Rattus norvegicus: one gene and its partner. The protein of the gene in region 1 interacts with the protein of each later gene in a biochemical or structural test. Links are inferred from orthologs where the notes say so. Each region holds a gene or a part of one and is shown on either strand. Other genes may lie near its edges.

Region 1 (4,227 bases):
CCAAAGGCCCGTGTTCAGATAGAAAACCCGGGGTCTCAACACATCCCACTTGAGTTAAAATCTCCCGAGGATGGCAAAGGAGGGGGCAGGGGTATCTCCGAGTTCGAAGGCAGCCTGGTCTAGAATGAGTCCCGGGGCAGCCAGGGCTACAAAGAGAAAACCTATCTCAAAAACTCCAATCAAGGGGTTGGGGATTTAGCTCAGCGGTAGAGCGCTTGCCTAGCAAGCGCAAGGCCCTGGGTTCGATCCCCAGCTCCGAAAAAAGAACCAAAAAACAAAAAAACAAAAAAACAAAAAACTCCAATCAAATCTTCTAGATTGGGCCGGGCGTGACGACGCGGGTCGAGGCTAGCCTGGTCTACACAGTGTGCTCTAGGACGGCCAGAGCAAATAGTGAGGCCCTATCTCAACCCCCACCAGCACCTCCACAGGTAATTTTTAATCGATATTGTCAGCTGATGAGGGCACCCGTTTGCTACGCTTGGAACCAGTTAGTGGCAATCCGTTTAAAGCAATCCAAGACAACTCTCTCGTCCTCTGCCACGGAGGGAACTCGTGAGCGGTCCCAGGCAGGCCGAGTACTTCTCCCACCACACACCAGGAAGTCACCTCTCTGAACCTGGAGTTATACCTACCGCGTGAGGTCAGAGATTAAATGGACTGTTTGTGCACTGCTCACACACACACACACACACACGCGCGCGCGCGCGCGAAATTGCTTTTATTAGGAGCTCTCAGGAAAGTGGTGGCTCGCATCAGGCTACCACAGCCAAGAGGACCGCCACCTCTACCGAGGGCAGGCCAAGGCCCACTAAACGGCCCGAATGAACTCTAGGCCTTCCGGCGCTCTCCAGCTCTTCAGCGCGGCGAACGTTCTAGGCCCCTGAGAAGTCCACCGGGAGGCGCAGGTTTCCGCTACGCAAGGGAAATCCCCGAGAAATGCCCAGACCACCTAAGCACAGACGTCCATGCGGCGTACGGATACCTGAGGGAATCCGGGCCATACCGCCACCTACTCGCGCCTCACTCAAGCCGCGCCAAACTCGCGCGTTTCACTGCGCAGGCGTGTAGCGAGCGGGCGCTCAGGAACACTCAAAGGACCAGCACACTGACCAATCAACGTCCGCCTTGGCCAAAACTAGTCCCGCCCTCAAAAGCAGACGTCAGGCCCTGCCCCTAAGAGCCCCGCCCTCCCCCACGCTTTAGGCCCGACCCACGCCGTCCTGGGTTAAGGCTCGCGGTTGGTTCGGGGGACGGACGCGAGCTCTGGTTGGTGGAGGTGAGGTCACGAGAACACCTTCGTCGCCTTTCCAGAGGCGATTACTGGGCAAGCTCAGTCTTTTGCCTCAGACGCTAGCTGTAGCTGGCAGGCGGTTGTACGTGCTCCAGAGTCTTCATTACCCGCCGATCCAGTCGTCTTCGCGTGGGTTCCGCTAAGCTCTTCTGAGCTGCTCGCTCTCTACACACGCCGTCGCCGTAATCCGCCATCATGGTGAAACTCGCAAAGGTAATAGGCCTGACGCGCGAACACGGACGACTAGGCCTGCTTTCTGAGAGACGCGCGCGCGCCCGTCGCGGAGGGGAGGAGGGCCTGCGCACAGTCCCGGGCGCGTTCGAGGGCGCCATGCTGAGGGAAGTCTCGCGCGACTAGCGGGAGGTCTCGCGGTGTTTGGCCTCTGACTTGAGGGATGAGAGGAGCCGAGGCAGGTTCTGGGAGGGCGATGTAGAGTGCACCGGGGCCGGGGGTCGGTGTGAGGGGAAGTCGGAGGAGTTGAGCGCGGAGAGGGGGTTGGAGGCTCGGCGAGTGAAGTGGGCCAACCTTAAGCGGCTAGCGCTCTCGGCCCCGCCTCCCGGCGCACGTGCTCCGGTGCGCGGCCCGCCACGTGGGTTACGGCGCTCCGCACGTGTCGCGCGTCCGAGGCAGTGAGGGGAGTGGGAGTACACCGGGAAAGGGGACAGTAGAGTTGGCCTAGTTACCTAGCGATCCGCAGTCCCTGACCGTGACGGGTAGATGGACACGTGGTGGGCTCCTGAGGTAGCGCGTGGTGACCGGCTAGGTGACTCCACGTGGTTTGGCTGTAAGCGTGAGAAAGTAGGAAGTAGCTCCGATACAGAGATGCTTTTAAGAGGTGCCTTCGAGATAACCCCCTTCCCCGGCAAATAGTTAAAATGGAACCTTTAACTGGGTTTTTTTCTTTTTTGTGGAACGTGCCAGAAAATAAAGTGCCACGACTAAGTAGACTTTAAAAACCTGTGGCTGTTTCCTGGTGAAGGTTTCTGTCTGTAAGACAAATTATGCGCAGTTCTCAGAAAAATTTGCCAGGAAGAGTGTCGTGCCTGGCCACGAGAAGTCTTTATGCTTGTGTTCTTTAGTAAGAAAGGAGGTGGTGGCCGAGGACAAAGTGGCTTACAATGCGGGTGATTTTTTTGTGTGCATTTGTAGGCCGGCAAAACCCACGGAGAGTCCAAGAAAATGGCTCCTCCTCCAAAGGAGGTGGAAGAAGATAGTGAGGATGAAGAAATGTCAGAAGATGAAGATGACAGCAGTGGAGAAGAGGAGGTAGGATGCTATTTGAAAAATTGTGTGATTTGCAGTGGTAGATTGACTGGAAGTGTCAGAAATAACAGTCAGTTCGGGGGGGTGTCTGGGCAGAGTTTCGTATGTTGTATTGAGTAGAGTTTACTGTAGATTTGTGGGGTGGTTTTCCCTCCGTTTTTGGGAAAATTGCTTATTCTAGCCTAATTTTTATTCAGTCCATGGTCACTTGGCTTTGTGAATTTTGGCAGGACATTATGACAGGAAGCTGTAGACCAGCCTAACCTCAGATAGGTTCTCCTGAATTAGGTGTTAGCCACAGTATCCAGACAAATGACAAGTTTAGTGAGAAACCCAGACTTTGATCTAGGTAGAGATGGAATCAGGGTCTCAGCTTAGGTGGTACCATGTGAGTTTTTTGGGGTTACCCCCCCTTCTATATATTAAGGGACTAAGCTGGACACTTTAGAGGAGAGGGTAGCCTTTTTAGATTCTTGTTCTCTAAGCAAAATTTATTATTCCCCGTATTCTTTATCTCACATGGTTTGTTTTTGCAATACTGGTCCCTATCACTGAGCTTCAGCTTATTTGAATCTTAATTCCAATCATTGTTCAAAATACATTGTATGGGTAGAAAGCTGCTAATAACCCATTTGCTAGATATGACATTCCCAAGTTTCATTTAAAGACAATCTAGCACACAGGAGACAGAAATAGGAGTACATAGTGAAACCTTATCTCAGGACAGTTTTTATGGTCATGCTCAATCAAATTTCTTAGAAAAGCTCAGGTGCTGAGTTAAGAGTCCAGTTTTTTAAGCATTGAAGGCCATGTATCCTTATTTAAGGGTTTAATGTTTATCTTTATGTGTGTGAGTGCATTAAGCATGCTTGGTCCCCTCATGCTAGAATAGAATGTACTTGGATATCCTGAAACTGGTATTACAGCTACATGTGGATGTTAAACTTGTTATAAGAGTAACAAGTGGGGCTGGGGATTTATTTAGCTCAGTGGTAGAGCGCTTACCTAGGAAGCGCAAGGCCCTGGGTTCGGTCCCCAGCTCCGGAAAAAAAAAAAAAGAGTAACAAGTGCTCTTAACTTCTGAGCCATCTCTCCAGTTCTTTACTTTTTAGAAACATATCTAATGTCTATCTTGTGTTAGTAACTTAACATAGCATTGGATATAGAGGAATGCTTATGATTTGTTTGCTTTCAAGGTTGTCATCCCTCAGAAGAAAGGCAAAAAGGCTACCACAACTCCAGCAAAGAAGGTGGTTGTTTCACAAACAAAAAAGGCTGCAGTTCCCACACCAGCTAAGAAAGCAGCTGTTACCCCAGGCAAAAAGGCAGCAGCCACACCAGCCAAGAAAGCTGTTACACCAGCCAAAGTAGTTCCAACACCTGGTAAAAAGGGAGCTGCACAAGCAAAAGCATTGGTACCAACTCCTGGTAAAAAGGGAGCTGTCACTCCAGCCAAGGGGGCTAAGAATGGTAAGAATGCCAAGAAGGAAGACAGCGATGAGGATGAAGATGAAGAGGATGAAGATGACAGCGATGAGGATGAAGATGAAGAGGATGAATTTGAGCCACCGGTAGTAAAAGGAGTGAAACCAGCAAAAGCAGCTCCTGCTGCTCCTGCCTCAGAGGATGAGGATGAGGAAGATGATGATGATGAAGAAGATGATGATGAT
Region 2 (3,645 bases), on another chromosome or scaffold:
AGCGTGAGCCATTGCAAACAGCATGAAGGGGATCAGCCACAGGAGGCTTCAGGTCTGTCCCACAACTCAGGGAGGGCAAGAGAGAGGGGAGACTAGGATGGAGAGGTTCAACCAACTTCTTCTGCAGGTGGAGGGATGGGACCAAAGAGGAAGTGGGTAGGACCAGTTGTGAGTGGGAACATGTGCGGCAGCGGTAGTGTCCTAGGCTGCAGAGGAGAAGCCCAAATAGGCCATGCCCAGGGAAGAGAGGCTGGCGACAAATGCTGGGTGTTGGCATTCAGGTGTTGGCAGTGATGTGGATTTTACCAGAAGTGCCGGGAAGACAAAAATGGACAGGTTCTGAGTGAGGCAGATGGGGGTCCCCGTGGCGAGGCAGCAAGGAGGGACCCTAGTCATAGCTCCAGGCCACTGTGGACCCCTGCCAGCACTGAGAGACCCTAGATGTGTGCAGAGAGAGAGAGCTGTGATGCGCAGAGCTCAGATGTCAAGCCCACTCAGTCCCCTGCCTCAGCCCGATCCTGGTCACCAGACTGCCCCATCTTGGCACAATGAGGGAGTAGGCGGTGGGGGTCCATCCCATCCTGCAGTGAGGCTGCTCAGAGTGCCAGCCCAGGTGAGGGGATCTGTGGAGGAGACCGAGGCTCAGGAGCCATCACTCACTGCACCTTCGGCCCTCAGGAGATCGTGGACTGGTTCAATGCGCTGCGAGCAGCCCGCTTCCACTACCTGCAGGTGGCTTTCCCAGGAGCCAGTGACGCAGATGTGAGTGGATGTCCCCAAGTCGCCCTGCTGGGTAGGGGAGTGGGGAGGTAGCCATCCGGGGTGGGTCACAGGACTGAAAAAGGGCATCAATAGACTCGCTAGAAAGGCGGCAGGGTTGACTCCTTTCTGGGGTTGGAACCCAGCTGTGCCATGCTGTGTGCAGTCCCGGGAATGACACAGGGTGGGCCTCACCACCATCTGTTCTGTCCCAGCTGGTGCCCAAGCTCTCTAGGAACTACCTGAAGGAAGGCTACATGGAGAAGACAGGGCCCAAGGTAGGTGAGAGCAATGTGCTTCTAGGCTTGTTCAAGGTCAGCCATCTTGCTTTTGCCTGTCTCGGGGTGGCTTGCGGTTAGGCTGGGTGGCTGGCTGAGGGGTTGAGGGTCACTAGGTCACTGGACTCACTGGGCACTGATAGAGTGCCAGCCCTTTCCCAGATGCATCTCAAAGTGTCCTGGGACTGCCCACTTTGTCCTATGGCCTTAAGCTTCAGGGTGGTTCTTGAGGCCTCGTCTGTGCTCTGGTGCCGGGATGAGAACCCAGGATCTAGGAGAGTGACCTGGTTGCTTGGGTCAGCCTGAGCCTCCAGCCCTCCGGCCCCTCTAAAGCGGGGACCTTCACGTTTGCTCTGCAATGTGGAAGTGGTGGATTTTAACCTGAATCTCAGGCATGGCCAGGGTTCCTCATGCACGGGTTGGCCAGAGTGGTGCCCTGTGAGCCCTTGCCCACTGGGTGTTGAGTGGTGGTCTCCTGGGGCAGAGGTTTACCTTGGGGCTGCTGACTGCTCACTATCCTTTCTGACCCATAGCAGACAGAAGGCTTTCGGAAGCGCTGGTTCACCATGGACGACCGGAGGCTCATGTACTTCAAAGACCCTCTGGTAAGGAAGGTCTGGCTATAGTCCCCTGACTGGCCTGTTTCAGGGAATAGGGCTGGGATTCCTCAAGGTCTTGGATACTAGGGCCTTACCTGGTAGGGCTCAGAGAAGAAGCAGAGAGGACAGTCAAGGGTGAGGAGGTCCCCTCCTCATGCCCCAGCCTCTTCTTGCCCACAGGATGCCTTTGCCCGAGGGGAAGTCTTCATTGGCAGCAAGGAAAGTGGTTACACGGTCCTGGAGGGCCTCCCACCGTCAACCCAGAGTCACCACTGGCCCCATGGCATCACCATTGTCACCCCTGACCGAAAATTCCTGTTCACGTGTGAGACAGAGTCAGACCAGAGGGAGTGGATAGCAGCCTTCCAGAAGGTGGTGGACAGGCCCATGCTGCCTCAGGAGTACGCAGGTGAGAGGTGCAGGTGTGGGGCAGGAGGGCGGCGGTGGGGTCACCGGTGAAGGCCCCTAGTATGGTGCAGCTCTGTGTTAGCACCCTGGCAGACAGACTCCTGCCAGGGCCCCTGGACACGCTGTGGAGGGAGGGGAGATACAGGCTGTGGGGGGGGGGGGGGCGGCGGCTGAGTGAGCTGGCAGCTCCCAAGGTTAGAAAATTCCCATTTTTAGTGGAAGCCCACTTCAAGCATAAACCCTAAGGAAGAGAGCCCGGAGGCCCCAGGATTCTGCACTCGTGTGGCGGCGCTGGACAGCAGGAGAGCCTCTGTTCCTCGGTGTGGCCCAGGCATGGCCAGGTGGGGCTCAGGCAAGCCCATCAGATAGACAGTTTTTCAGAACCTCATTAAAGTTGAAGGCAGACTTGGTTCTGGGCCTCACTTGACCCTGGCCCTGTCATGACGCTCCCAGCCACGCCCAGCCGACCCACCCATTTTCCTGCTGCTGGAGGAAGCCCTGCCTCCCAACTTGAGCAGGACCCTACTAACTCTTCTGGCCTGAGGGGATCTTGGCCTCAGGACAGGACTTGGTGCTGGGCTGCTGTGGACAGCCATGGACAGCCATGAACAGCTGTGGCAGCGGGCTGGCCTGGCTGCTGGGGACTCACTCTGGGATGTGCCGCATGCCTCCCCACTCCTCTCCCCACTTCAACAAGTATTTATTGAGCACCTGCTGTGTGTCAGTCAGGGATCAAGGGTCAGGGGTCAGCTCTCCTTCCCCTAGGGCTGACCCAGCTGGAGCATTGGGGGTCAGGTATTTTTCCAAGAGAACTGTGTGCATAGGCCCTGCACCCACCTGTTTGCCCCACCCCCCCACCCCCAGGCCCCTTGGGACAGCTGGCTGGAGCAACCAGGAGGGAGCCTAGCCTGCAGGGTGCTGTGCATGGAGCCCAGGAGCGGTTTCCTTGGGAGCCAGGGAGCGCCCCATCCCATCTGCTTTTGGGCGTCAGTGCCCAGCTCGGTGCTGTCCCCGCTTTGTAACCCATGCCCTCTGGCCCTGCCCTTACAGTCTTTGAGCCCTTGATGAATGAAAGCCCAAGCCAAGAAGTGGTCATTGGCAGGAATGGCTGCCCCCCAGCCCTGATTGCTGCTGGCAGGCCAGTAGTTAAAGCTACCTGTATTTATTTCCCCCACTGCCCTCTGGCCACCCCAACAGATGGGCTCCCTTCTATGGGATCCCCAAAGGGCAGGTCCTGGCCGCTGGACAGCTGGGGAGCATTGATGGGGGACCCATCTGTGAATGACCTGGTCCCTCCTCAAAGCTAAGCCCTAGGGACCTGGGGGGAGGGGTCCTTAGTTGGGCTTCTGCTGCCCTGTGTCATGTCGCCTGGAATAAAGTGTGGCTCTGGCGTTGTCCCTTCTGTGTGTTTGTGGCTTAAGTGGGAGGAGGGGGCTGGTAACCCCTTTGCTATGGCAGCCTCCCTTTGGGCAGTAAGGGACATGAGAAGAACCATGTCACTTCCACGGCAGGCCTGACAGAGCTGGCCTGACTCTGCAACCTGTGTCCCATAGTCCCTAGCCACCACGCTGTGTGTGTGTGTGTGTGTGTAAGGAGAACTG

The links.
Region 2: the proteins of Ncl (region 1) and Adap1 form a complex in vitro, tested with the Homo sapiens proteins (2 studies listed by BioGRID). The link is inferred for Rattus norvegicus from reciprocal best matches to the Homo sapiens genes NCL and ADAP1.

Annotation. Positions count from the first base shown.
Region 1 is NC_086027.1:94,453,220-94,457,446, reverse strand, and holds the start of Ncl (nucleolin), read left to right. Parts: upstream 1-1,363; 5' UTR 1,364-1,489; coding exon 1,490-1,507; intron 1,508-2,443; coding exon 2,444-2,560; intron 2,561-3,753; coding exon 3,754-4,227. UniProt on the Homo sapiens protein: Nucleolin is the major nucleolar protein of growing eukaryotic cells. It is found associated with intranucleolar chromatin and pre-ribosomal particles. It induces chromatin decondensation by binding to histone H1.
Region 2 is NC_086030.1:20,486,521-20,490,165, forward strand, and holds the end of Adap1 (arf-GAP with dual PH domain-containing protein 1), read left to right. Parts: intron 1-678; coding exon 679-762; intron 763-974; coding exon 975-1,037; intron 1,038-1,570; coding exon 1,571-1,642; intron 1,643-1,816; coding exon 1,817-2,045; intron 2,046-2,260; coding exon 2,261-2,289; 3' UTR 2,290-3,441; downstream 3,442-3,645. UniProt on the Homo sapiens protein: GTPase-activating protein for the ADP ribosylation factor family. Binds phosphatidylinositol 3,4,5-trisphosphate (PtdInsP3) and inositol 1,3,4,5-tetrakisphosphate (InsP4). Regulates the incorporation of CD63 and CD9 into multivesicular bodies.